Linked DNA regions of Alligator mississippiensis. The protein of the gene in region 2 interacts with the protein of the main gene of each other region in a pairwise test. Links are inferred from orthologs where the notes say so. Each region holds a gene or a part of one and is shown on either strand. Other genes may lie near its edges. The genes, in order: SMC2, TRAF3IP1, FRMD4A and OLFM1.

What was found.
Region 1: the proteins of TRAF3IP1 (region 2) and SMC2 interact in a two-hybrid assay, tested with the Homo sapiens proteins (2 studies listed by BioGRID and IntAct). The link is inferred for Alligator mississippiensis from reciprocal best matches to the Homo sapiens genes TRAF3IP1 and SMC2.
Region 3: the proteins of TRAF3IP1 (region 2) and FRMD4A interact in a two-hybrid assay, tested with the Homo sapiens proteins (2 studies listed by BioGRID and IntAct). The link is inferred for Alligator mississippiensis from reciprocal best matches to the Homo sapiens genes TRAF3IP1 and FRMD4A.
Region 4: the proteins of TRAF3IP1 (region 2) and OLFM1 interact in a two-hybrid assay, tested with the Homo sapiens proteins (2 studies listed by BioGRID and IntAct). The link is inferred for Alligator mississippiensis from reciprocal best matches to the Homo sapiens genes TRAF3IP1 and OLFM1.

The regions. Positions count from the first base shown.
Region 1 is NC_081826.1:165,751,864-165,759,132, forward strand, and holds the start of SMC2 (structural maintenance of chromosomes protein 2), read right to left. Parts: upstream 3,006-7,269; 5' UTR 2,780-3,005; intron 2,733-2,779; exon of another isoform or gene 2,653-2,732; intron 1,794-2,652; 5' UTR 1,720-1,793; coding exon 1,552-1,719; intron 294-1,551; coding exon 144-293; intron 1-143. UniProt on the Homo sapiens protein: Central component of the condensin complex, a complex required for conversion of interphase chromatin into mitotic-like condense chromosomes.
Region 2 is NC_081827.1:183,388,392-183,395,896, forward strand, and holds the start of TRAF3IP1 (TRAF3-interacting protein 1), read right to left. Parts: upstream 3,001-7,505; 5' UTR 3,000-3,000; coding exon 2,793-2,999; intron 1,544-2,792; coding exon 1,475-1,543; intron 1-1,474.
Region 3 is NC_081827.1:14,823,935-14,831,350, forward strand, and holds the start of FRMD4A (FERM domain-containing protein 4A), read right to left. Parts: upstream 3,020-7,416; 5' UTR 2,651-3,019; coding exon 2,492-2,650; intron 1-2,491. UniProt on the Homo sapiens protein: Scaffolding protein that regulates epithelial cell polarity by connecting ARF6 activation with the PAR3 complex. Plays a redundant role with FRMD4B in epithelial polarization. May regulate MAPT secretion by activating ARF6-signaling.
Region 4 is NC_081835.1:62,520,195-62,527,404, forward strand, and holds the start of OLFM1 (noelin), read left to right. Parts: upstream 1-4,210; 5' UTR 4,211-4,502; coding exon 4,503-4,652; intron 4,653-7,210. UniProt on the Homo sapiens protein: Contributes to the regulation of axonal growth in the embryonic and adult central nervous system by inhibiting interactions between RTN4R and LINGO1. Inhibits RTN4R-mediated axon growth cone collapse.

The DNA.
Region 1 (7,269 bases), on a different chromosome or scaffold from region 2:
CAGGCTGCGAGTTGCACATCCCTGCTGTATAACATGCAGTGGCTAAAACGAAGAGCAAATACTTGCATCTTGAATTCAGTTTCTATCAAGAAGAATGAAAAAATCTGTAAGCATTTCTGAACAAATAAAGGCTAAAAGCTTACCTGCCTGGTGACGGTGATCTCATCATGAGCCTCAAATCCCAGAGGACTTTGTTTCTTGTCAGAATTATCAAAGGTGATTGATACAGTTGCTTTAGTAATTCCAGCCTGGCCATTTTTGTAAACCAAATCTTGTAAATTGGATGCTCGCACCTGAAAATATGGAAGAGACATGAATGATTAACAAAGTCATTGTATTAATAGCAAATGGGGAGTCAACTGAAATGTCTGACAAGTAGGCATGCTATAGATTTATGTACCTTAGTAACTTTCAAGAACGAACAAACTGTGGAGGTATAAAAAAGGCTGCAGTATAAAACAATATACAAAAGACCAGCCCAATTTTAATATGTCAATTAAAGATTTTTATAAGAAATTAATGAAAAAAATTAAATGGATAAATATACGCAGCAAGATGGTCTAGTCTAAAACACTGCTCTCTTCATGATGGCATCTATATGAGATTGTAAAGATGTTATACTAAATATTCATTGAGGTTCTAATGGATTACTGAGTCTAAACCACACTTTTAAGCAATTCTAAAAGTAGATACAGATCTTCCTAAACATACATATTACTTACGTAAATGGTACTATGTGCATAGTGTTACTTATTAAATATTGTTATTATTCTTTGCTTTTAAATAATAAAAAGCCTCTTTTGCTAAAAAAAAAAAAATAAAATAAAAAAAATCATCATTTAACAGTATTCTCCAGAGATTCCCACATGCATAATAAGGAAATGAGTTAGCATCCTAATCTGCTTTTGTATTTCTATTTTATAAAAACGTTATGATTTCAATCTTCTGCTACTTTTGTCCCATGGCTCTAGGTTGCAGACTGCATACTAATTAATTGCTATCATTATTACAAGCTAATTATATTATTTTTACATGTTAAAAAACTAAGCGAAGTAAAAGGGACCACCATTCAGTTTACAGTCGGTTGGTAAAAATGACTTCTGCCTTAGGCGAAACATCATACCTGATGGTGTGAGAAATGGATTGCTTTGTTAGTACAACTACAAAAGCTATATATTCACATTAGTTTATCAAACTGGAAAACATCTGAAAAAGAATTGTTAGCAGCTGCAACATTCCTTGATAAGGACGCACTCTATGCCTGACTGTAAAGCAATCTTGCTAATGAGGCATCAGCAATGATCACATCATCATTTTTACTTCTCAATAGAATCCTCCGATTTGGATTGAAAAATTTTAATCTTCACAGAGTGCAGAAGAGGAAGTGTCAATCTTCCTCATTTTAGTTAAAAAAACAAAACAAAACAGTAAAGCCAGCCACACATTCTGTGAAGGGGGAAAAGGATGCTGCCTGATGATCCTGTTCAACAGGGAGAAATTTTATTGTTGCTCATGGTCATTCAGAACCGTGTGTTTCATCTTGCTCTTTACCTGAGATAGGTTGGAGATGCCCAACAGGAAACAGATGGAATCCAGGATATTGGACTTGCCGCTGCCATTTAAGCCAGTGATAGCATTGAACAGTGGGTCAAAGCCATTGATTTCTGTCCTCTGGGCATAGGACTTGAATCCCTCAAGGATAATTGACTTGACATGCATCTTTTTGGTCTCTCGGAAGGACCATGCCAAGCCTCCCTTCAAGGGGGATGAGGAAAGTTCTCCAGTTTATAGTGCTGCAGGTTTCAAAACAATAAAAGCAGACCAAATCAAAACAGAGTGCATTCAACAGAATCAAAAGCACAAAGCAAATGGAAAAGGTTACAATGCTGCCCTAACAGACAATGGTAGCTGCTCCCTCAGGCAGGGAAGTCATCAGGGTGCTGCCCAAACATTACATTGACATTCGTCCAACAAAGGGCAAAGGCCCTCTCCCCCAAGCTGTTATTTACAATAAAATATGTATGGATTCATGCCTCATGAATGTTTCTCAGCAAAGACATACAGCTACTGGGGGAAAAAAACCCCTCAAGACAATCATCTTCCTGAAGACGGCAAAGTCGACTTATTTTTCCTTTAACAGTGTGCATGTTGTGGACGCCTGTCTGCATTCAGAGCGCAGCGTGACTCTACACATGGTTAGGGGTTTGCTGAAATAACAAGTTCATAAATTAAACAGACAGACAAGGTCCTTTGGGTGAATCTGTTATCTCCGATATCAGATTCGCCCAAAGAACCTTGTCTGTCAATGTCCTTCAACCAACACGGCTACAACCTACACCGCTGTAAATGAAACACACACACACACACACACGTATGCATGCATATTATATACACAGGCAGACAAGGTTCCTTGGGTGAATTTGATATCTTTTATTAGACCAACCCAAATAGTTGGAGAATAGTTATTAAGCAAGCTTTCGGGTTCACACACACGCACGCATAAACATGCGCACGCACACAAGCACATAGATATACACACCCTGAAGAAGGAAGTTTATGCCCCAAGCTTGCAAACAGCAATTTCCCAACTATTTAGTTGCTCTGATAAACGACATCACACCTGCCCACAGGACCTTGCCTACCTGCACGCACCTCAACTCGTGCACGGCTAATGCCGGCTGCGCACGGGCGCCCTCAGAACGGCGGCCGCAGCCCCGCGGGGTCCACAAGGCGGAGGCGGCTCCCCCACCCCACTGCCCGCGGACCCAGCCCCCCTCACCTGCCGCCGCCACCGCCAGCGTCCGTCGCCTCGCTCAAATTTTGGCGCCCAGCGGAGGCGACCGTTTGCGGCTGTCCCGCGCGCTGCCGGACGAACTGGCCACCGAGCTACGCCCCTAGCGCCTCTCCCTCCCGCGGCCACCCGCCGCCTCGGCACGTTTTCTTTTTTCTTTTTTTTTAATTTTTTAATCGATTCTTAAGGCTAAAAAAACAACCGTCGATTCAGGCACCTACTGGTGTCAGCCATAGCCAGCAAGGACCCCCTTCCCCTCCCTCTCCCCTGCTCAGCGTTCTGATTAGGGACACAGGTGGGTGGGGCCTTTGAGAGAGCCCGTCGCTGTGCGGGCGCAAGAGGATGACGTAACAGCAGTAGCGGGGCGGGGTAGGGTAGAATAGAATAGAAGCGTGCGCGGGGGATGGGGCAGTGCTGGTGCTGTGATTGAGGGCGTGCGCGGGCCGATGTAGCCGCAGCGCCCCAGCCTCGCGCTGCGGAGCTGCTAGCGGCCTGCAAAGCCCATTCCTGCCTCAGCTTTGCTAGGGTGTAGCCACCCTCCCCTTCCCCTCCACAGGGGCCCCTGTAGCGAGCCGGCCTTGCGCGGCCTAGTTCGTAAGCAAGTGCCACAGTTTAGGCCTGTCCCTCAAGGGAAGCTTTCTGGCAAAACCTGCTCAGGTTTCAGCGCTCTGATGCTCAACAAGGCATAGCCACGTCTGGCAGCGCAGAGAAGACAGAATTGAGGAAACGGGTGTTGGAAACTGGTATTTGGCCACAGGAAGCAGCCGATTTGGCAAGATAAGCAGCCAAAAGGTGGTGGGAATATTCACGCTGCAGGTCTCCTCTGGGTTGTTAGCAGAGGGAATTGATCCCAGCCCTGAGCGCAAGGCTGAGCCATTAGGGCAGTACTCCATAGGTTACGGAAGGCAGGACAGGGTTGACCCTTAGAAACGATGTGTGCAGCATAAGATTTTGTGAGCCTGAGCTCATTTCAGAGCTCGTGCTATATGTCACTGATTTTAGCTAGTCTGTAAGGTGCAAATCTACTGTGACTTCAAACTGAAGAAGGTAGCTGGCTCCATCCATGTGCTACTGCCATGGTAGCACAGGACAGCACTGCAGTGATCGTAGTCTTGCATCCTGAGCACTAATGCTGACAATGGAGCCCTGTACAATGCCAGGAATAATCACAGAGCAAACAGCCATAACGAAATGACAGCAATAACTTGTTAGAATTCAGGAAATGAGTATTTCTGCCAAGTATTTAACCACAATGACACAAAGAAACAGCAATCTCATTACATCTGTTTAATCTGCAAAGTGATTATTACCAGCACTGCATGCAAGGCTGGTTTGGTTTGGTTTGGTTTGGTTTGGTTTTGGTGGCCAGTGACTCATGGATGTGGCTTAGCTTTAGCCAGAGCAGTAATATCACTGTCCATCGCTACAGGGAGACCTGATCTAGTTAGCAATCCCTCTCTTCGAGAATGATCTCTACCACAGCTCTTTCATGAGTCTTGAAGTGACTTAAGTGTCCAACCCTTGAGCCACAGACGTGTCCATGGAAGTCGCAGGTCTTTCTGCAGCAGAAAGTAGGCCGTAGTCTGGGCTTCCTCTCCTTTTCCTTCCTCTGCTCTCTCTTCTTTTCAGGACAGGATGATTTACTTCAGTGCAGGGTGTTTCTCAGTTGAGGTTGCAGTGCTGTCGGAGTTAGTTAGCAGCCAGCTCCTCCCTGTTCTTGATGTCAGCATCTGTTTTCCTGAGGTATGCCTTCAGTGTGTCCATGTAGCATTTTCTTCGTTGCTGTGAGATCTCAGGCCACAACTAGGCTGGGAGTAGAGCACTTGTTTTGGAAGTCTAGAGTTGAGCATCCTCATACGATGTCCAGTCCAGCAAGTTGGTGCTTGATGATTGCCACCTCAATATTACGCGGGAGCGGCAAGAGACGCGCGGGTGAAAGCTCGCTGTGCCCCCGCTCCCCCGAAGCCCCCCAGAAACCCTCCAGCAGCCGCGGAGCCCCCCGCTGACCCCCAGCGCAGCCGGGGTAAGCGGGGCCCGTGGAGAGAAGGGGCTAACCCCTTAGTGTGTGTGTGTGAGGCGGCAGCTGAGTGGAGCCGGGCCGGGTCAAGCCCCGCCCAGGCCCCTACTTGGCCCAGCCCCCCAGGGAGCCACACGATCGGAGCCGCGCGAACAGGCTGCACAAACAGGCGCGCTTCTCTGCCGGCGCGTGAGTTAGCACGGAGTTCGTGCGGGAGGGCGCCAGACCCTGCCTGCGCACCCCGCAGGGTAGACAGTCCCAGCCGTAGCCAGCCTACCAGAGGCATGACACGGATGGGCAAGCGCCGCACCCCGAGGGTCCCCTCGGGCTCCGCGGCCCCCCCCTCTGGCACCTCAGAGACGGCCACCCAGACGGAGCCCCTGGTTCCGGGCTCCATGCAGACGGAGCCCCTGGCTCTCGGCTGCGGGGGCTGCCTGTCCCTTTTTCAGGCTCTGGGGCCTGGGAGCATGGCGACCTCCCCTTGCGGGGTCTGCTCCCTTTTGGGGTCTCTGGTGCGCCAGCTGGAGGAGCTCCAGGCCACAGTCCACAGACTGCGTGCCATCAGGGACTGCGAGCAGGAGATAGACTCCTACTGCCAGGCCCTTCTCCCCCGGGAGGCAGAGGGTAGATCACAGTCTCCCTCCAGGCCAGAGGAGGACTCTGGGACCTCCTGCTGTGTCCAGCCAGGGGCATGGACCAAGGTGGTCAAGGGCCCTAAGGCCCGCCGCACCAAGGCCCCACCCCCGCCACAACTGAGCAACAGGTATGCACCTCTTGCTGCCCCAGCAGAGCCTGCTGAGTTGCCGGCCCCCACAGGCAACATGGGCCCAACTGCAGCTCCCGCCCCTGCTCTCCCCAAGACAAAACGTAAGGTGTTTGTTGTGGGAGACTCCCTCCTGAGGGGGACGGAGGGGCCAATCTGCCACCCCGACCCCTTAGCCCGGCAAGTCTGCTGCTTCCCGGGGGCCCGCATCCGGGACATTGCGGAGAGGATCCCCAAGCTCCTCAAACCTACAGACCGCTATCCCATGCTCCTTATTCATGTGGGCACCAATGACACGGCTCGGAGCACTCCCAGCCAGGTCATGAGGCGCTACAGGGATTTGGGAGCGGGGCTTAAGGGTCTGGGGGCACAGGTGGTGTTCTCGTCGATCCTCCCAGTCTCAGGCTATGGGCTGAGAAGGGACAGGAGGATCTATGTGGTCAACCAAAGACTGCGGCACTGGTGTCGTCAGGAAGGCTTTGGCTTTCATGACCACAGCCCGCTCTTTGGCGAGAGAGGCAGCGAGCTGCTGGGAAGAGATGGTCTCCACCTCTCTCCCCTAGGGAGGAGGCTCTTCTCAGCCAGACTGGCTGACCTGCTCCACCGGGCTTTAAACTAAGCCCGCTGGGGGACGGGGGCACGACCGCCACTGCTGGCCCGCTGAGCAAATCTTGCAAAGCCAGCGGATCATGGCACTCAAGGGAGCCCTCCCCAGCCCCAGCCCTGGTAAAATCTGTGGGCAAGGAAGGAGCCCCCCAGGGGGCGCTTGCCTGCCTGTACACAAATGCCAGGAGCTTGGGGAATAAGCAGGAGGAGCTCATCCTCCTGCTCAGTGCAAACAATTACGATGTCATAGGGATCACAGAGACCTGGTGGGACTCCACCCGTGACTGGACCACGGGGATAGATGGCTATACCCTGTACAGGAGGGATCGTGTAGAGAAAAGGGGTGGGGGTATAGCTCTCTATGTTAAGGAAAGCTACGCGTCCCTGCAAGCCGATATTGGCGACCAGGGTGGACGGCTGGAGACCCTCTGGGTTAAAATCCGTGGGGAACACGGCACAGGGGACACAATGGTGGGAGTCTATTACAGACCTCCCACCCAAAGTCCTGAGCTAGACCAGGAGTTTGCCCAGGAACTGGCTGAGGCAGCTTGCTCCAGGACCATGGTTGTCATGGGTGACTTCAATTACCCAGACATCTCGTGGGAGGATCGCTCAGCAAAATCTGAGCGGTCGCAGAGCTTCCTCTCGTGTGTGGATGATCTCTACCTGACTCAAGAAGTCTATGGGCCAACGAGAGGCAAAGCGCTGCTCGACCTGGTGCTGGCTACTGGGGAGGACCTAGTCGGCGACCTAGTGATCGATGGGAAGCTGGGTGACAGCAACCACGAGCTGATCACCTTCACCATCCGCCGAAAAGCTGGCAAGTCGGTCAGCAACACGCAAGTCCTTGACTTCAGGAAAGCCGACTTTGACAAGCTCAGGAGGCTTGTCAGTGAGGCCCTAAGGGACTGTGACCGCAGGGAGAGGGGAGTTCAAGAAGAGTGGTTGCTCCTCAAGGGAGCGATCCTCAATGCACAAACTAAGTCTATTCCATCTCGGAGGAAAGGCAGCAAGAGGGCACAGCAGCCCCCCTGGCTCTCCAGGGATCTAGCAGACCTCCTGAGGCTAAAAAGAAAGGCCTACAAAGGATGG
Region 2 (7,505 bases):
CTCAATATTGAAGGCACTGCTTAAGCTGCATTAAATATACCAATCAGGTTACAGACCAATGTCCTTGCCATTCTCAAAGTCAGATGATTCAATCAACCAACTGCCAGTCTGTTTCTCCACTGCTAACAGAAGCCTTGAAACTATAAAACAAACAGCTGTGAAACAATGCCAGTGCTCTTGTCTACCAAGCCTGATCTGCTGCTGAGCCATACAACTGACACTGCTGCACAGCACTTACAGCACTTGAAATGGGTATCAAGGGTTAACCATCCATCATGCATATCAGGCAAGTAGCTGTTTGCCAAAAAAGCCTATTATAAGTGTTAGGTTTGTAATGATGGCGATTCATTCATCTTGCCCACTTCCCTTCAAGGACTTCAGAAACCCACTATTTTAGGGATGAGGGAACAGTGAGATGGTTCCTCTCCAGAGATCAATACAACTTCAAGGATGCAGTACAGCTCAAATGTGAACAAAGACTAAAGCAATCATTGGAACAGCATGAGTAGGGTGGCCATATTGCATCACTGGTCCTTACATGGGTACCATCTGCCCAAGAGTTCAATTACCTATGGAAGACTTCGCCTTAAAGGGAAATGGCACAAAAATAACTACTCTCCATAGACAGAAAATCTGTCAGTAGGCACAACTTCCCCACTTGCATGTGGAGACAAACTGAAAAAGCACATCTCATAATATGGGTAGAATAAAGCACTTTGTGCATTGTATATGCATCTCTGGAAATATCATTAATTCACTGCAGAGAGCAGTGCTAGTTACAACAGTGAAAGTAAAGAGCTGATACAATTTTTGTTTGTCTTTTCAAGCTGTAGTAAAATTGACCTCTCAGAACAGAAAAGAGCACACACTCAGATAATACACTTCACTGTACAACCCCCCGCAAGATCACATTGCTGTAAACATAAAAAGGATTTGCCATTCTTTCATACAACGTATGTTGTTATGCAACTCAAAACACTTATACTTATTTTTTGAATCATCCTTAGTTATTGTATACGCATTAAAATATCAACAAAAACAGAGACAAACCATTGGGGCACGTAAAACAAAACATAACAATCCCCTCCTTAGCCCTAGAAAATACAGTCTTAGAGGAAAGTTGTCTGTGGATGTATAATGGGCAAAAAAGAACCTAAAAAGCAGAAGTCATAGTTTTTAAGTTATTATTTTTAATGGTGTTGTATCTTTAACTTCCAGTATGCTCAGTGCAGAAATGAAAAATCATTTTGTATCTCTACAGCATGTAGCACCATAGGTCTCTTGTCCACAATCGGGGAATTTAGGTCCTGCCACAAGACACCATCTCATATATTCAGAAAAGCTACATTTGAGGCTATTCCCCCAAAACATTAACTGTAAAAGAAAGATAGGTTTGTTACATGAAACTGGGTATGACAACACAGGAGTAACTGCCCATGCTGGGTATAATGAAATAAGGAAATTTCATACCCACCTTAACATTATCAGATTTCATCTCAAAGTCTGTGTATAGCCCCTTCATGAAACCTGTCACTCTAATTACCTTCAAAACAAAGGAAAGGTAAATTACTGAGAACAGCTAGAAAACCTCAGCAAAAACACTATTTTCTTGTATAAGGTTCCAGCAGGCAAATCTGTTAGCTTGACTCACTACCTGAAGCAGAGTTGGAAAGAGGATAGAGCTAGACTGTGCTCGGTGCTGGCAGATGACAGGACAAGAAGCAACATTCTCAAGTTGTAGTAAGGGAAGTTTAGGTTGGATATCAGGAAAAACTTTCTTACAAGGAGGGTAATAAAGCACTGGAACAGGCTACCCAGAGAGGTGATGAAATCTTCATCCTTGCAGGTTTTCAAGACCAAGCTAGATAAAGCCGTGCCTGGGATGATCTAGTTGAGGATGCTCCTGCTTCGAGCAGGGGGTTGGATTTGATGACCTCCTGAGGTCCTTTCCAACCCTCATTTTCTATTATTCTATTTGGAGGGAAGTCAGTCATTCGCTCACGTCAACATATTCATTGAAAGGTGTCGGTCAGTATTTTGTATTCATTTAATTTTAGGGCAGCATGACATTCTCTGAAGAATAAATTCGGACACATTTCCCCAGGTGCTTAACATCTCACTCACTTTAGTCTGGAAAATTCCTGCATTCACTTGTTCACAGGAACTCATGACTTTGACCCACAGGCCTGGGTGTTTTCAACCCAGTCCTGATTCCTCCTGCTGCTGCCACACCTATTGGTACCTGCCTTGTTTCTAACAGAGGGTTTTACCAAGTCTCTTTTTTTCTTTCCTTTTCAGGTGGGAACAGAAAAAAAGAACTAATGCGAATATCTAACATCTCCTTCAGTGAAGGGGCTCTGCACTTCCAGGTCAGCGCTGGTGCACCATTATCAGGCAGCACGGAGGTTGGGGGGGGGGGGGGGGGAGGATGGGGCTGAATGGGACCTCCCCTGTAACAGTTTATGGGGTGGAAACCGGCAGGTGAAGGGATGGGATGGGGGCCACAGAACAAGCTGGTGGAGGACCCTACTCTCCAGTGAGGAACTGAGTCTCCCACGGGCAGTACCAGGCTTCAGAGCAGTGGTGGGGGGGAGCCACAGAGTTGCCCCGCACCTCCCAGGCCCATCCTCTGCTGTTCTCCTGCTCTGCTGCCCGCCCCGAGCCGCACTCCGAGCTGGCTGCCAGGCTGGCGGCAAGGGGGAAGCCCCCAGGCCCAGGCCCTTGCAGGGCCCCAGACCCGCAGGGGGCGGGGCCCGCCCCGAGCACCCCCGTGGCCCCGCCCCCCGCGGCACCTGGCAACGGGGACGCGAAGACGGGGCGAAGAGGCCCACCTCGCCGATGACGTCGTGGAGGTAGCGAAAGGGCGGCTTGCAGAGCAGCCGGTCGGTGAGGGGCGGCTTGCGGATGACCCGGCCTAGGGACTCCTGTGTGCGCCGCACCACCGCCGCGTTCATCGCGGCCCACAGCGCCCGCCCCGCCGGCTCCGAGCCTCCCGGCATGCACCGCGCCAGGTCCCGCCCCCTCGCTGCGCACGCGCGGCTCCGCATTCCGCCGTTGCTACCCGCACCGCGGCCCTAGCAACGGCCGCCCCGGCGTCTGCGTGCGCGAGGGGTGTGTCTGTGCAATGATGTCAGCCCTGGTAAGGTTAATAATAAAAAAAGCGTCCAAAATATATGATAATTTTTGAGGCACCCACTTGATGCAATTGGACGCAAAACCCAAGTTACGAGTCTTAAGCAACACTCAGGGGCTTCTTTGTTTTGTTTTAATTTAATTTGTATCCGAGGTCAAATTAGACAAAACTAATTCCAAATCCAAGAGTCCAGAACCATAAGTGGCCATACTACTGGCAAACATCCTCCACCCGCACCTGGGGCTTCAGGTGTTTCCAAAACCTTTGGTGGGCATCCTACTTGCAGGCCCAAGCCCAGTGGTTTGGGGTTCGGATGCCCCCAAGTTTTGCTTGTCCTTAGCCATACGGCCGTCAGAGCAAACAAGGGAGGGGACTCCTATGTCCATAAACGGCTTAAACCCGCTGCACCTCAGTGGGTACCGAGCCACGCCAGAAGAGCAGCTCTCTGCCAGGTGGTTCAGGAAAGCTGCCTTCTTGGACACAGATACATGGTATTTCCCCTGCCAGGGTCAGAAGCCACTACGCTTGATCTGAGCCTTCACGAGGCCGCACTTTGGGGTGACTCCTTACCTGGAAATAAAGAACAGCCCCCACTTTCATGACCCAATTCTCACTCACTCACTGGGACTTAGAGTGAGCAATTTAAAGTCAAGGAAAACACAACTTAATTGCATACTTATTTGCATATTTGTCAATTGTTTTCCAGCAAATGCAATCATTTTGAGCTTCCAACATGATAACTTCATATTTAAGACTCGCAACAGTGGCCACAGCTCACCCAGGCTACCCAGAGACTGCCCCTGAGCAGTATCTTGGGGGCAGTCTCTTGGAGGCACCTCAGGCTGGGCCAGAGGTGGCCATGATAGGGCCCCTGGGTGCTACCCCTGAGTCTGGCCTTAACCCACATGTGGCACATGCCAGGCCACTCTCTGCCCACAGAGGGACATTTGCCACAGCAGGCACCCACATAGCACACACCACATCTCCCAGCCTGCTCTCTCACCCCAAACTCAGTTGGGGTTGTTGGGGGAAGAGAAGGCTGGAGACGTTTCCACACCACTCCTGGAGCTTTCCTCGGCAGACAGCGCACGCTCTGACCCCAAGAAATGCGCTAGTTACCTTAAAACTATCTTAAGCAAGTCTTGCTATCTGTCCCCATGAGAAAACAGGGTCTCATGGACATAGGATTTTGAAAGGCCAGGAGGGGAGGGAGTGCAGATGCTGAGGTGCATCGATTCATTGTGTATAAAACAACACTGATTTTTCTCCAGTTAAAAATAAGCTAGAACCTTTACTAACATGCGAGGGGCTCAAGGCTGTATTATTCCATTTGACTGAAGCAAGAACAAATATTACTTCATTCGAATAATATAACTTCACCGGAACCAGCAAGGAACTCTCTGTAGTGAGGAGTTGGCATCCGGCTCCAACTACAAATGGCACACATGGCGGAGCCTGAACAGATTGAGAGTGGGTCTCGCAAGATGCAACTCTCTCATGAAATCATGGGACCTCTATGCAACCAACATGTTTCTCAGGAGAAGCAAACAGCGGATCATCTGCTGAGATGCCCTGTGGCACCACAATGTACCCTATAAGGTCTGGCAACACCAACACCAGAAGCAGCGACCTGTGCAGAATACTGGGAACAGACCAGGTTGGATTGGAGACGCAACAAAGAAGTCTTCATTGGAATGAGTTAAAAACAGTTTGGGGGGCTGTGAAATAGGAGTTTTGTTACCAGGAGCAGCAAATTGCATAACAAAAGCTAGCTTGCTTGGTGGACCATCAAGACCATTAAAAAGAAGGAAGAGCCATTAACACTTGTTGAATGAAGAATTTAGAAGGACTCTGGTAGATTATAATGAGCCATAAAGTCAAGTGACTTCCTCACTGCTGCCTGACTAGAAATGCTGCTGCTGCTGCCACTGCCAGGCAATTGGTTTTAAACTTTGGATGGACCAGGAAACAAACAGGGAGGAAGGGAGTGCAATGCACCAGTTCATCCCCCTCCACCTGCCACTGAGTGCAGTGCAGTTGTCCAGTCATGGTCGATTGGTGCCTCCTGAGTTAGGGGGGCACTTGCCCCCCCAGTGGCCAGTCAGCGACCGAGGGGGGGGGGTCCCCCTGTGGCCAATCGCGCCAACCCAGAAGTGGCGCGTCGACCCCTGGGGGGTAGGGGGGAACTGCAGGGATTGCTTCTCCTGGCGCCCTCACTCTCTGGTCAGTGCTCTCGGGGGGGGAGCACCAGAGCTCTTGCCTGCCCCCCCAGCTCATTGCCTAAGCGGGAAATGGTGGCTGTCAGGGTGTACACCAGCGCTGTCAGGGGGTGCACATGCACCCCTGTGCACCCCCTACTTGTCGCCACTGTGTCCAATGACCCTTTGTTCCCAAACTGTTTTTATACCTTTTGTTACTTGCATATTCATTATTTTTATAGCTATTATTACTACTATTACTACTGGCTATTTACAGATTATTTATACACCCATACCTGCGTACCTTGCTTATCACACATCCTCTCATTCTACACATACTTTTCCCCACTGTCATTGACACTGTTTATGCTTTGAGAAAATTTGTGGTTGCATGCTCAGCTTTAACCAGAGTGACCTCCTCACCAGCTCAGTTCCTATACAACACCATGCAGGAGTTTTATTGTTACACCCAGACATGATCCCCCCCCACCCCACACACACTTTCCCCCAGTCCTGGACTGGCTGGAGCAAGATGTGCACTGGGTCTAGTCTAGGGGAGTAAAGGGCAAGTCTGTGGGCCTGATATGGCCCACAGGGCCAGCCACACACCATTCTTTTGGCCCTGTAGATCAGCCCAGAAGGCTGGATGAGTGACACTCCTGGACTACACCCATTCCATATGGACAGCAAAGGAGGGCAATAGTCAGAGCCCACAGGATCAGAACAGCTGTTTTAAAATGTGGGTACCACAGGCATAGGAAGGCAGGAGGCAGAGGGGATAAGCCTGGGCACCAGTATACAGCTCCAGCAGAAGTCCACGAACTTGGTGCACATACTCCACAATCCAGGCTGGCTGCTACAGCAGTGGTCACAGTCCCTGCCTGCCCACAGAAGGGGAATGGGCAACATTCAACACTCTGACAGGAAGCCCAACTCCTGGCAGGGTTACCAGGCCGCAGTCCCCTCTGTAACCTCAGCAGAATCCAGCTCTGGACTGGAGAACAATCTAGGCAGGTATCCCATGGCTGAATAGGAAGACCTCTTTCCATGGCTTTTGCACTCCAGAAAAGGAGAGTGCAAGGAGAGATTGTGGTTTCCTGCTGATGCAAAGTGTTGCTACAGTGTATATTTCTTCAATAAAGTGCCTTCCCACTCAAGGTTGTGCTTACCTGCTGCAACTGTAACAGGGAATAGCTTTAGGTGAAGAGCTGTGCAGTCAGTCTGCCTAGACTTTCCCAGGAGCTTTCTCTAGTCACTATTTAAGTGCTTGGCACCATCTCTGGGGGCAGTAGGGCTCTCTGGACAACAGTTATGTTGAAGCTGCCTAAGGCCACTGAGTTAGGGTGAGGGTTGCAACCATGAGGGTTTGAAGAGAGAGAGTTAAGAGTGGAGGCAATAAGGGAATCCAGTAATGGCTGCTTAAATCACGCTGATAAGGATAGAGATATGGTTCCAGTTGTTATACATCTCAGAGCTGGGGTGAAGAGTGGGTGAAGTGGTAGAGCTGCAGGGGTTAACACAGATCTCACTTATCCCTCACAACTAACGCACACCCCAAACAGGGATCCAAAGCCCCTGCTCACCCCATCCCTGAATTCCCAGGAGCCACAGAGACCAAATATCCTGGCTGTACAGGCTGGACTTGGCCTGTGGGCCACATGTTTGACACTCCCGATATTGGGTAAAACATGAGGCAAAAAGATAGCCTGGTTTGTTAACCATCTATTTGTGAGTGAATTATTAAACATATTTATGAGTGAATGCAGCTATAGGGAGGAATGAAAACTTTTCATTCCATCCAGGAAGAGCACACACCAACTGCTGAAGCTTCCTTAGCCTGACGAAGGGTTTTTGAACCCGAAAGCTTGCTTAATAACTATTCTCCAACCATATAGGTTGGTCTAATAAAAGATATCAAATTCACCCAAGGAACCTTGTCTGCCTATGTCCTTAGACCAACACGGCCACAACCTAAACCCCTACAGCTATAGGGATAATTTAAATTATTTAAAATGAGTAATTCAAAGGCCAGATAAAATGCATCCATCTATACCATCCTAGGCAAAGTCTAGGATCCTAGGGGTTGATGTTGTATACTTAGACTTCAGGAAGGCCTTTGATATGGTATCCCACACCATACTGGTAAACAAGTTAAGAGGCTGTGACTTGGATGA
Region 3 (7,416 bases), about 170 Mb from region 2:
AAGAATAGCTTCCCTTGATTTGCAAACAACACTTTTGTTAATGCAATCCAAAATGCTGTCAGCCTTTTGTGCAACTAGACTGTGCTGCTGGTTCATATTTGGCTCATTCAGCTTATAGATTTCATAGACATTGGGGCTGGAAGGGACCTCGGAAGATCATCAAGTGCAGCCCCCCGCTGGAAGGGCAGGAAGTCAGCTGGGGTCATAGGATCCCAGCAAGATAAGCATCCAATTTTCTCTTGAAGGTGTTCAATGTTATGTCTACTGTAACCCCCAGGACCTTCTATGCAGTACTGCAGCCAAGCTAAACATTCCCCAGACTGCATTTGTGCATGCAATTATTTCATCCCCAGTGCAGGACTTTACACTTGTCTGCAACTCCACCCAATTTCATGTTGTCTGCAGATTTCCTAAGTGTGGACTCGTTTTCATCATCCAAATCATTCATGAAAATTTGAAAAAAATACCAGACTTAGGACAGACCCCTGGGGATCCCCACTTGATACCTCTTTCCAAACAGACATTGAGCCACTGATGACTTATTGTTGAGCAAAGTGATCTAACCAGTTCATCTCTCCTAGTCTTGCTCGTCCTATTTTATCACTTCTGCTTCCATTCCTTTCTGGATCTCAGAGGTGCAAGAGAGTTTGCAACTAATAAGTGATAGATAGCAAGTAAAGAAAGCTGTGGATGTGGGAAAGCTTTGCAGGTACAGCTGGAGAAATGAGCTGCTTATTTCATCCAATCCCAAATCGATGCCAAATTTTAGTGCAAGTCCCCCAGTATTTGCCAAGGCCATTTCTCTGGTAGAACAGAACAGACCGGGTGGTAGCAATGCTATTTAGGCCCTGTTTAGGAGAATGACTCCTTGGGCAAGCTCAGAGACAAACAAGTCAGTGTGCCACGACACAAGGGCATGCCGTCAGAAATGAACAGGTGGAATTTTGCCGTGGCAGTGAGCTACAATGAGCTCATAAGTATGGGGATGGGGCATGCCTTAACAGGTGTGCCATGGAAAATTTTAATTAATGTAAGTGTGCCTTGGGCTGGAAAACATTGGGAGACATTGGCTTAGAGTGTCTTCCTTTACTCACATGGAGTATTCATCAACTGATTGCAATAGTTTCCATACAGATGTCAGGAGCTGCATCTGATGCAAATGCTACAACTAGAAAAAGGGATTAGAGAGGATTTTCTAGGATGGCTTGAGTTGTTAGGACCATTCACTAGCCCTAGGGCAAATTAGCATTTAAAAAATTCACTACCTGTACCTGTTTCTTCCTAAACTACACTATGAATCTGTTCACAAAGTTACTGGGGATGGACACATTCAATGGTCTTCGAATCAGGCCCATTATGTGCAGCTGTGCTTAACACAGCAACTCCCAAACCCAGAAATAACTCAAACCAAGCAAATAAGTCTAGCAGAAAATACCTTTTCCCCCAAATACAAGCACTGATCACACAACCCAAAGTCTGGGGTTCTCAAGTTTCTTGGTCAGTTCTGCAATACCAATGAATACTCTGACATTATAGGATATGGAAACAATAAAAAAAAATGAATTCTTAACTGTTCTTGGCTAATCCAAGTTGGCTAATTGAAGTGAAACCAGCTAGGAAGACGATTAAGATAGCAACTTGATATCCCATGACTGCCACCTGAATTAAAAGTCAAGGTATCCAAGTCTTTACTGCTGTATTTGAACTCAAGTTACTTGCCTAAAGCTGAGCTAACAACATACCTTGTCCGCACAATGCCAGCCCTACCTCAGGTTATATATAGCATTTACCTCAATGAATTGAGACAGCCTTGCAAAACTAGCCAGAAAATTCACTAACCCAGGTACAAAAAAAAAATCATCCGACCCACTTTCACTATTGTGGTTGGGCTTTTATAACCCCATCCAAACAAAATATGTAACAGGCAAGCAAATGAATCGAATCTCCCAAAGCTGAATGATACCTAGGGCTTGCCTAGTGTGATGTATGTTATATTTTAAAGTCAGCCCTTCATTTTATTTACTGCATGCAGGTTACAGTTCTGCAAGGCTAGATTTCTTCATGCTACATAATACTTTGCAGTTTGTCCAGCAGCTAGGATTAGTCAAGAAACAGGAACCCACAGCATGAGCAGACTGGCAAAGAGCAGCCTCGTTTCACAAGGAGAATCTATCCAGGATGCCCCAAATACTAAGAGATCCCTAGCCAGAATCTGCCCCTTCCTTTACTAACACGGTTGCACGTGCCTCCGCTTGAGTAAAGCAGAATCTAGGCTTCTGCTCCAACTCAGAAAAGCTCCCAGGGACCTCAAACCCTGTTATTCTGCCCCTAGACTTCTTCCTATGAGTACTGAGCATCTTCAGTGCTCACTGACTGCAATGGGAAGCTCATGGAGTTCATTTTTTTGCAGGATTAGGCCCCCTGAGAATTTCCCCGTGCAGGGATTGAGTAAAGGCCTCATGATTTGGCCCAGTGGTGCAAAACCACCTACCTGGTAGACAGCTCTGGAAATGCACCATGGCTTCAGCATCAGCTGCAGGACCCTCAGATTTCCAAAGCGGCAGGTCCTCAAAGCCCGTGAAGTCAAGTTCCACACCAGGCTGTCCCAGCTGTAGAACAGGTCCTCAAAGCCAAAGAGGACAGCAGCCATGCCAACTACCTGTGTGAAGCACCCAGGGCTCCCAAGCTGAGGTGGCTAGTGAGTTCCTAGACTCCTTACGGACCGCAAGGTTAAAATGTCACAGCAAGTTTCAGCAAGGCGGCAAAGAAAGGCTGCAGCCAAAATAAATCAGCTGGGATTCTTCCTCCCCCGCTCCCGTCAGGAAACAGCTTCTCTTTGCATGTATCTTCTCAAATCAAATTCTGCTGCACCCAGAGATCATCGGGGACAGGGTAAAAATATCAGTCCCGCGCGAGGCAGGCGATTTCACATCCCTGACAAAGGGCTCCTTGGTTACGTTGCATCTCGCGTCCCAGCTCCGAGCAGCAGAACCCAGAAACAAACTTAGATCCAAAGTCATCACTTTGCTTTCAGAGGACTGGGATCCCATCCAGAGGGAGGAAAAAAAGCTGCTCTCTCCCCCTGCCAACATTCCCAAGACATTCCAGTCTTCGGCTTAACTCTTTCAAATGCTACAAAACAACAGCTGAGAGGATGGCTTTGCAGCGTGCAGCATCTTATCCTCTTATTCTTTATTCCTTTATTTAAATTTGATGAAGGACTACTGGAGATTTTTATTTTGTATACAGTAGGCACTGCTAGAGTCTTTACACTTTCCAGATTCCTCTTGGCACTTAGTGTTCATGCAATACTTATGTTGATCTAAACCTCAGCTAAGGGTGTGCCTCTCTATTAAACCACCTGCACAGGTTGACCAAAATCAGCTGAAATTGGTGCCCTTAACAAACACACACTGAAACCAGTTTGACCCTTGCTTAGCATGATTCAGCTTCCATCACCAAATGAAGCTGGGGTGAAAGAGATAAATTAGGGTTTTACATTAAATTAGTGGTTTAAAGCGCCGTGTCGTTAATTTGGTACAACTTTCCTAATACAGAGCAGATCTTTGGGAAGGTGCCAGTCTCAACACCTCATAGACATGGAAAGTGAGACACAGAAGTGACGTGTCCTACATAAGGCCACAGAACGAGTCAGTGGAAGAGCCACTGAGGGGCCAACTCGCCACCAGAGCTGTTGCTGGTGTTGCAGGATGAATGACAAAAGACTACATAACTCCTATGGGGCCTGATTTCACAGCTAATGGGGGTTAGTTGGTGAACACCTCACAAGATTGGTCTGGCCAGCAGCTGAGAGGACATGCTGAGCAGCCCCAACTGAAGTCACTAGGACTTACAGCACCTCTGAAAAAATGAGGCAGCGGTGCTTTGCGAGGCTGAGCACCAAGACAATGAAAGCCATGAATCTGGCTGCTGTGGAAGCAGTCATGGCTTGTTCAAAGCCTGAATATCTCAAGCAATCTAACAAGGTAGCGAGCAAACACGTGCTCAAACAGCAAATATTGATTGCTCTTCCACGGTTTTATATATATGTCCTGACTCAGTATATATTTAGTTTGATCTGGGAGGACCAGAAAGCACAATCCAAACTGGCACATAATAATAATAGTACAATACCTCTAACAGCTCGTTGACTAGGCAGGTGTAACACCAGCAAAATAGAGCGGCAAAATTTATGTTCACAGCTTTAATTGCTTCTCCAGGACATCATTTTTATAGCAGTGTCATAAAAATCATAGCATTTCGTTCCAACTTAGTAGATGCTATTTGTGCTGCAGCACATCATTCTCTCTCTTCCTATGGGTCTGTCTTTTAGTCCCGTGTTGCCCCCCGCCTCTGAATCTCAGATGTCCGTTTTCCTGTCTCCTTCTTGGGTTGATTTCTTTGCCTGTTTGTAATTTAAGTAACACATTGTCCCCATCATTAAAAATACTGACAGGGGACTAGCAACATCGCCATTATAAAACCCCATTTGGAGAAGGCTTTTTTTTTTTGTTAAATAAACTTGATGAGGAAACATCTGCTCTAGGCTACAGCACAGCATATAAGAGCCCTGCCTGGAAACACAAGAGAAAGAAAAAGAAATGTGTTTGATTAAAAGAAAAGGAGGAGGAAATAACTTTCAAAAGCGACTGCTCCACAACGTGATCTAACTGCTTTGGCATTCGGAAAGGGGGAGAAGGGAAATGGAGGCTATGCTGCTGCTTTAAAATTAGCTACTCCACATGTGCGCTGAGCCTTGCCGGCCGTTCTGGAGGGGAATTTTGGTCATAGGCAGCCCCCGTGTCCCAAGTATATGATTACCCAATGGATGAGAACGGCTCTAGAAGAGCTGGGTTACATAATGTGACTTGACGCAACGATTGCAAAAGGAAGTATTTAACCAATAGACTGGAACTGAGTCCTTGGGAGTCAGCTGGACGTGCGACCATTTGAACATGCAAATTTAAGTCCTTGGTGAGAACAGCTTGGTCAGATTCCTACAGATCCTTCCTTGCTAATTTGATGTGCGATATTTTATTTTGGCAAAGCTAAACATCGTCTGTACAAGGATTCAGCTGAGAGGACCAGCTTCTGATGGAGTCCAGATTACATGCATTTCTCAGACAGAAACCAGACACGTCACAGTCCCCAGAGCTGAGCAGGTACTTTCTCTCCCTGAGACTTCCCCTTCCCGAGTGGGAGGGTAACACTATTAGCAACCATCCTTCATGGAGGCACAGAAGAGGCCAACTGTGGGGAGAGGGCAGTTTGGGAAGGGAGCTGTACAATAGTTAGCACAACTTTATGCCACGTGGAGCTGTACCGTAACTCACATTAGATGCCCTGCTCCGTCTCCCTGTGATGGGCTGACCATGCATGAAAGGTTTGTGAGTCGGGGATCCCTCCGAGTTGAGGGAGCTGGTTCTTCGGCTTGGTTAGCGGAGGCGTAGGTCTAGGACTCCCAGACTGAAGTTAGGCAAAGGATTTTGCCTGGAGCATTGTTACAAGTCAAGGAATTTCCTAAAGGAGCATCTGACTGCTGATTAAGGAAATCCAGCACTCCTCAAGGAAGCTTATCGTTTTCAGTAAGACTTTCGTCGGAAGATTTCACGAGTCCACGAAGGAATTTCTGGGCCAAAGCCAGAAAGGCAAAGCACAACACCCTGATGATCAAAACAATCACTCAGGCTGGGGGGGATCCCAGATCCTGGGAAAAGCAAAAATTTAGACCCGGTCTCCTACATCCCAGGAGAGGAACCTGTCCGGACGGCCGTCTGCTTCTGAACGTGTCTCTTCAAAGTCAACAAGCTTTATGAAATGGGATTTTTGGTTTTCCAGTCACCCCCATCACACCTGGTGTCCAGTGGGAGGCACTGTTAGGCATCTGGAAAGGCCGGCGGAGAGTGTCACAGATTCACTGAAGTTTAGGGCTGGAAGGGACCTTGTGAGATCACGGGGAGATGGGGAGCAGAAATGAAGATCTAGTTGCACAGCCGATCAGATCCTCTGCTGGCATACACAAAATACGTGCCTATAGCACCCCATTACATTTCTATACAATCCTACGGGTTTCAACCCCTTGGTAATCTACAGGGAAGATTATATATAAATTGCAGTGCAATTTATAGATGTATGATGGACAGAGCTAGGCATGTATACACATATACACACACAGATCTGTTCATCGGTTTCTCTAATTATGCACTGATTATTTCCTGCCATCTGAGAAAATGTCAGGGAAAGCATTTACTTCCAAACCTCCCACATCTTACTGACGGTCCAGAGGCTGTTACTAGGATATAAAAATAGCCCATTTCTTTCCATGAAGAAAAAAAATCCAGTCCATTGTGTTGCTTCATTTGACTGTCAGTGAGAGCTGAAGGTGAAGGGCAGGCTCTCAAACCTGAGCTAAACAGGAGGAAAATGGTCCTTTTCAACAAAATGCCAGAACAGACTAAGTGGAAATGCAATGACCTGTACAAATGCAAGTAAATGGTGTCTGCATTCGGAAGCTTGGTGATGAGGAGGACATCTTTTCCCTTCAAGTCACCCGCATTGCCTGGTCCTTGGAATAAGGAAATCAGCCCTGCTCTCTAATGGGCTCTCAAGTAGTTCCCCTCTTGACTGTGTTATGAGAATAGCGTGCAAAAAAACTGGAGTTTGGGGGAAACTTTGTAGCTTTTCTCTGAACATACAATAAATGAGCAAGATGCATCCTCTTTCTGCTCCACAGCTGGCCCTGATGGTTGTTACGGCTCAAAGCCACTGATCTGTTCTTTTAAGACCAAATCTTTGTATCAGATGTGTCACTATTTGATCTTTATTTCTTTTTAATGATAAGAGGATGAGGCCTTTAAGCCGAAAGGTCTCTTTCATGTTGGAGCTTCGTGCTTTGTTGTTTTGGAAACAATTATCCAAAGTCTTTTACTCTCCATATTTCTCTCTGCCTACTTCCATAGCACAGCCTTTTCTTGCATGAACACGCAAGAAAGGGTCCAAACGATGAAGGGCTCATTCCCAGGGCCACTGAGCGCTGCTACATGTTTGTATTTATACATCTAGAGGGGTCAGTGTGCATGTGGCATATGGCACTTAGAGCATTAAAAGGAAGTTTTCCTTTCCTTGCCAGTATCCAACAAGTTACTAGCTGGACAACGCAGGGAAGAGATTGCTCTATGCACATGACTCTTAAATCTAGCAAAAAAAGGAGTAACAATGCAGTGGTAGGAAGCTGAAGCTAGGTAACACAGATTAGAAACAATGTCCAGGGTTACCTTAGGACAATTTATCATAGCATGTGGGGAAAAGCAGAGGGAATAAAGCAGAAGACAAAACCGCAGGATTCATCCCACGGAGAGTTTCAGTTGCATAGGACTGAGGACCAGGCTCTAAATTCTGTTGTGTCGCTGTAAAGGC
Region 4 (7,210 bases), on a different chromosome or scaffold from region 2:
CCGTCCCTCCTCTGCATTACCCTTTTGGATAAGCAGAGTGAAATACCCATCTCTGCTAGAAGATGGCACTAGAATTCAACAATTGCATCGACTCCCAGGCCACGGAGTTGCATAACATGCATGTCGGCTCCTGTTCTGCATTGCCACTTCTGGAAGAAACTATCGATTTGCTAACACAAAGTTCAGCCCCTTTGACTCCCTGCGATATGCAAGCAAAGCAGTGACCTCGCACTCGTGCACCGTTGTGCATTGCAGGTCAATGAAGGAGGTGAGAGGGGATGGGACAGCTTTCTTTGTCTTCATTCATCCTGTTCTTCCTCATTTTTTTTTCTTTGCTACTGCAAAATGTGAGAGGTGCAGAGAGATTTTGATGCCTATTTTCTGACCGACGGCTGTGATCACTTCTTAGGAAGCATAGGGGTTGATCATCGGAGGACACATTTATGGCTGTATGTCAGGACTGCCTGTACATGATCAAAGGATTCATTTTGTAATCTCTTTTTCCTTCCTTTTGCATTTAGTACTTATGTTTTACCCCTGGGTTAACGTTTAAGTGAAGGCAGAAGTGAGGGTTTCTATCAGAGGGACGCTTGGTTTCTGAAGTCATTGAGAAAGTTATATAAGCCTCTGGAGAACATCTTCGTTTTTAATCTGGAATGAGTTCAGTTTCCTTATGGGGAAGATGATTTCAGGGAAAATGTTTTGACAATGCCACCAGCACCGTTTCCAGTGCAATATCCATCTGGCATCTTAGTTACGGTTTGCTTTGTAGCTGGGCAAATTAATACAATACGGGATTTTTTTCTTAAAACACAAGAGTCCTGATCTTCTGCTGGTGTCACTCTGTGTAGCTCTACCGATTGCAGGGACTTGGACCAACTGAGGTGCTGGCCTGGTGTGTGTTATGACTGTACCTGTCTACCTTCAAAGTGATCAAGCCTTTTCATTTTTGGAGAATGCCAACTTTGGTTTTCAGCAGGAATTTAGCAACCCCGGCTATGTGACGTCTCTCCCTCATTGAAGTCCTAAACCAACGGTGCTGAACCTCTTTCAGTCAACGTACCCCTTGGTCTCAGAGTGAGACTTCACATACCCCCTTTCAATGGGAAATTAATTTTTATGTCAAGCTACGTGTAATCGTGTATTATAAAAACGGCAAGATACTCGTACAAAACTTCAAATTGTCAAGACTTTTTTTAGGTCCTTTGACCTGTGCTAGACAATGTATGAAATGTATCTCATGTACCCCCTGGGGGTACATGTACCCCCCGGTTCAGAACCGCTGTCCTAGACTCTCACCTTGGGGGACTTGTAGGATGCTTTATAGATCTTACAACCTCAGACTCGTGCAGTAGAAATGATGATATACTTCTGAAACCCCTGGCCTCACACCACCATGCTCAGCGATTGCAAAAACCCACGGGAAGAGGTGAAGCTCATCTTGTTCCCCCACATTTGCCAGTTGTATCTTGCCCCGAGCTTGTAATCCCTCTGCAGAAGCAGCTGCCTTTTTCGGGGGTGCTGGGTATAGCAGCCAGCACTCCCGAACCTCAATCCCAGATCAGGAATTGGTTGTCATACAAACAATGCAGTGCCTCCTGAGAGTTATCGAGGGGTTTTGGCAGGCAGGGAAGTATCCGGAGACCCACTTAGAATTGAAGACGGTGGGAAAGTACTCAGAACTGGAGCTGCCCGCTTCAGACGCCCGCTATCTTGCATGCCAGTGTCCCACCCTATCCATAATGGATCCTTCTCTCCTTCACCGAGCTGCCTGTTGCCTCCACCTGCTTTCTCTGGCCCAAGCTATAGAGAAACTGAGACATCTTTTGGAGGTCTTCCACCTCTGGATGCTCTCTAATGGATGGCAGGGAGGAGAGCTGAACTTCCTCTGGAACAGCGATAATGGGAAGTCAGGCGGGGAGGGGAAAGGGTAGACTGGTACAAATAAGACTGATGCTGGTGCCCGATTTGCAGCCTGGCTGGAGGTTATGAATCCGCGGAGAAAACATTCAGTGCACGTTGATATTCAGTGCATGTTGTGATACCTGAAAGGTGCTTTCATGTGCAAGGCAGAGCAGGGAGAAAAGGAGCCATGGAGGGAGCCAGGAAGCACTTGGGGTCAAAGTCCGGCTGAGAGCTCATTGCTGCGGGGTGGCAGAGGTGACGGCTTTCCCCACCTCAGCCTTGCTGCTCTGCTCTGGCTGCTTGGGCAAGCCTGTGACGCTGGCTTGGGGGCAAAACCCCCCTCCTTACTGGGGGGAAAAAAAGAAGGGGAGACACAAGGATGGCAGCAAAGGTGGCAGCTTTTCTTACCCCAGCCTTGCTCCCTACTTTGGCTGTCTCAGCAGACCTGTGAGGCTGGATCAGGGGCAAAACCCCTTTCTTGGCTGGAGGAAAAATGCAGGGGAGACACAGGGACAGCAGCAGAGGTGACACCCAGCCTTGCTCCCTGGCTCTGGTGGTCTTGGCAGGCCTGTGAGGTTGGATATGGGGCAAAACCCCCTCCTCCTGGGAGGGAACAAAAAGTAAGGGAGATACAGAGATGGCAGCACAGTTTCAGCTTTCCTCACCCCAGCCTTGCTCCATACTCCAGCTGTCTCAGCAGGCCTATGAGGCTGGTTGGGGGGCAAAACCCCTCTCCTGGCTGTGGGGGAAACAGAAGGGGAGACACTGGGACGGCAGCAGAGGTGACTCCCCAGCCTTGCTCCCCAACTCTGGCTGTCTGTGCAGGCCTGTGAGACTGATTCAGAGACAAAACCCCTCTCTTGACTGCGGGGAGACAGTGGAGGTGACACCCCAGCCTTGCTCCCCAAGTCTGGCTGTTTGGGCAAGCCTATGAGGCTGGGGAAAAAAGAAGGGGAGATGCAGGGACGGCAGCAGAGGTGCCCCCCAGCCTTGCCCTTTGGCTCTAGCTGCCTGGGCAGGCCCGTGAGGCTGCCTTGGGGGCAAAATCCCCCTTCTTGCTGGGGGAAAAAAAGAAGGGGAGACACAGGGATGGCAGCAGAGGTGCCCCCAGCCTTGCCCTTTGGCTCTAGCTTCTCTGTGCAGCTGGATCAGCAGCAAACCCCTCTCTTGACTGGGGGGGAAGCAGGGGAGGCAGCAGCAGTGATACCCCCTGCTCTATGTGCCCCGTGCGGCTGGATCAGCAGCAAACCTTGACTGGGGGGAAGCAGGGGAGGCAGCGGCAGTGATACCCCCAGCTCTATGTGCCCGGTGTGGCTGGATCAGTAGCAAACCCCTCGACTGGAGGGGAAGCAGGGGAGGCAGCGGCAGTGATACCCCCAGCTCTATGTGCCCGGTGTGGCTGGATCAGCAGCAAACCTTGCCTAGGAGGGAAGCAGCAGTGATACCCATGGCTCTATGTGCCCGGTGCCGCTGGATCAACAGCAAACCCCTCTCTTGACTGGGGGGGGAAGCAGGGGAGGCAGCAGGGGTGATACCCCCAGCTCTATGTGCCCTGTGCGCTGGATCAGCAGCAAACCTTGACAGGGGGGAAGCAGCAGTGATACCCATGGCTCTATGTGCCCGGTGTCGCTGGATCAGCAGCAAACCCCTCTCTTGACTGGGGGGGAAGCAGGGGAGGCAGCAGGGGTGATACCCCCAGCAATATGTGCCCTGTGCGCTGGATCAGCAGCAAACCCCTCTCGACTGGAGGGGAAGCAGGGGAGGCAGCAGCAGTGATACCCCCAGCTCTATGTGCCCGGTGTGGCTGGATCAGCAGCAAACCTTGACTGGGGGAAGCAGCAGTGATACCCATGGCTCTATGTGCCCGGTGCCGCTGGATCAGCAGCAAACCCCTCTCTTGACTGGGGGGGAAGCAGGGGAGGCAGCAGGGGTAATACCCCCTGCTCTATGTGCCCTGTGCGCTGGATCAGCAGCAAACCTTGACTGGGGGAAGCAGCAGTGATACCCATGGCTCTATGTACCCGGTGCCGCTGGATCAGCAGCAAACCTTGACTGGGGGGAAGCAGGGGAGGCAGCAGCGGTGCTCCCCGCGGCTCTGGCCGTCTGCCCGGGGCACGGCTGTGCCCGCGAAGCCGCATGCCAGGCGGGCGAGCCCCGGGGCTCGGGCTGCAGCCAGGGGGCTCTGCGGAGCCGCGCAGCCGGCGCCAGGCAGCGGAGGAGGGGGTGGGCACAGCAGCCCCAGCCTCTCCCCCCACTCCCAATCCCTCCTCCACCTCCTCCACCTTCACCACCACCACCACCACCACTCCGGCAGCAGCAGCAGCAGCCTCCCGCCTGCCTGCCCCGGCTCGCTGGCTGTGCTGGCTGTGCTGTGCTGTGCTGGGCTCGGCATGCCCCAGCCCCGGCGGAGGAGCGGGGCGCCGGGCTGCCTGCGCCCGCGCTGAGCGCCGCGCCCTGCCGCTGCCGCTGCCCGGGCCGGGGCGCGCCCTGGGCCGGGATGCGCGGCGGCGGGGCCCCCGCGGCTGCCCGGCTGGCTCGGCTCGCGCAGCCCCCGGCCGCCCGGGCATGAAGCGGGGCCGGAGCCCCGGCGCGCAGAGATGTCGGTGCCTTTGCTCAAGATCGGAGTGGTCCTCAGCACCATGGCCATGATCACCAACTGGATGTCGCAGACGCTGCCCTCGCTCGTGGGGCTCAACACCACCAAGTTGACGGCCGCCACGGGGGGCACGCTGGACCGGAGCACGGGAGTGAGTGCCCAGCGGGGTTAGGAGCTCTGTGGGGGGGGGGATGCAAAAGCTTGGGGGAGACTGCGCGGTGTACCCCCAAACCCCTGCAGCAAAGTGCATTAGCTCCTAACAACCCTGACTCTTGGGGGCAAAGCGGATCTCTTTTCTTAGACCGAGGGGAATAGTTGGAAGAAGAAAAAAAAAAATCAAACAACCCTTCTTTCGGGTTTAAATCCCCTCGGGATGCCAGGGGAGCATCCCCCTCCTGCTCTGCAAGGGCTGGGATGAGGATGGGCTTTTGCAGGGCTCAGGGGCGATGGGCTGCAAAAAGCCTTGCTTCTCCGGGGTGTTCGTGGGAAGGGGGAAGGGGGGCTGTGCTTGAGACTGGGTTCGGCTGCAGCTGCGGGCAATTTCGGAGATTTTTAGGGTCGGAAGGGACCTATTGGATCATCAAGTCTGACCCCCAGTTTGGTGGGTGCACATTGTGCAGTCCAACCCCCAGTTGGGTGTGTGAAGATTTGTAGTCTGACCCCCAAGTTGGTGTGTGCACATTGTGCAGTCTGACCCCCCAGTTGAGTGTGTGCAGATTTGCAGTCCGACCCCCAGTTTGGTGTGTGCACATTGTGCAGTCTGACCCCCTAGTTGAGTGTGTGCAGAGTTGCAGTCCGACCCCCAGTTTGGTGTGTGCACATTGTGCAGTCTGACCCCCCAGTTGAGTGTGTGCAGATTTGCAGACCGACCCCCAGTTTGGTGTGTGCACATTGTGCAGTCTGACCCCCCAGTTGAGTGTGTGCAGATTTGCAGTCCGACCCCCAGTTTGGTGTGTGCACGTTGTGCAGTCTGACCCCCCAGTTGAGTGTGTGCACACAGTGCAGTCCGACCCCCAGTTGGGTGTGTGCACATTGTGCAGTCCGACCCCCAGTTGGGTGTGTGCAGATTTGCTACCTTAGAGGAAGGGCACGGTAAGGGCACGTTCCCAGCCGACAGACTGCGGGCTGGGCTGGCTGTCCCCTGGCCAGCCTGCAACCGTGCTGTGATGCCCCTCTTAGCTGGCCATCCTGTTACATAACCTGTTAGGCACCAATCTCCTGCATAGAAATACTGGGGTTTGCACAGGGGTGAAGGCAAGTCTGGAGGTCCCCCCCGCTGGCACTACTTTTCCCTCTATTTCGGCCAAGGACCCTGGTCGCAGGGTCCCCCTCCCAGAGCTGAGGCACTCACATGCCTCCAATCGATAGTCATTACTGGTTGGAAAATGCAACAGAGAAGTTGCAAGTGTATTTCAGCCGGGTCTTATTGTTCCACTTCCTTCCCCTGAAAGGAGACTATAGATTCTGCTCTTATCTATTGGAATTGGCTAAGGATCACACTCCTCCTTACCTCCCTGAGCAGGAAGGCATTGACAGCTCGCACCTCCCGGCTGCAAGCTTCTGTCTCCATAAAGGATGTAGCATGTAACAGCTCCACTGTTTCAAGATGAAAAGTATTGAAGGCGGCATGTCTTTGCCCTGGGAGTGAAGCGGGTAGCTTCTGCCACGTTGCCAGAACGGGATTGACCCAAAATCATTTGGACCGCTTTACAGAATCTCTCTCTCTCTCTGCCCCTGCGTCTGTGTGTCGGCTCGGCTATTTGCAAGGTTATAGAGAATATATTTAATCAATCAAAACAGCATTTTTTTCACCCTTCCCCCCTCCCACCCCTTGCTTGGGGATGCTGCTTTCTTCCAAGTCATCAGAAACGAGGCTCTGATTAAATAATGCACCGTGCAAAATGTTGCGTGATCAAAGGGAATGGAGATCACCGGTGCTTTTGGGGCAGAACAGGGTTGGAAAATGAGCGTAGTTCGGTTGCTGGCTTCCTTTTCCATCGGTGCATTATGGAAGCCCTGCTGGAGAGGCTGGCTACATCCGCAAGGCTGCCTCCTTCCTTAGCTGGCTGGCTTTCACAGGCAATGAGTCTGGGATTCCCCTTCCATGGATTTGCTGAACCCTTCCCAAAATATTGCAGTGCTGGCGAGGAGCCTGGCAGGGCTGGTTGGGGCTTGGGGCTGGAGGGTGAAAATGCAAGGGGCCTTTTACTGTTCCAGGCTAATTTTCCTGTTTCAGGATCTTGGAGAGCTCTGCAGATGCCCATTGATTACAGCTTAGCTCCAAGGAGGCTGTAAACTCCCTCTTAGCTTGGGATGCACTTCATTCTCGGCGTGTCAAGGAGGAATCGAGTGCATCTTATTCATCAGCTCTCACCCAGCCACCGTGTGCTTCAGAGCTCGCTCAACTAGTGTGTTACAGCAGGCTAACCAGACCCTACTACCCTGATTTTCTCTGCTACATACCATCCCCCTGGTCTCCCCTGCCCCATCCCTATTCATCTGCTTTGGCTCTTGCTCTCTTTTTCATACCACCAGGCACAGAGCTAGTATGTCCCAAATCCATATCTTTGCATTGTAAATGCTTTCTGTCCTCTCCTGCTAGCTGGGCGTTCAGAGAAACCTCTCCTCTGTCTTCCATGAGATACATATCCATAGCTCTTTTGCACTGAAATAGGGTCCATGCCTGTTTCTTCTCGTGTACCATCTCCT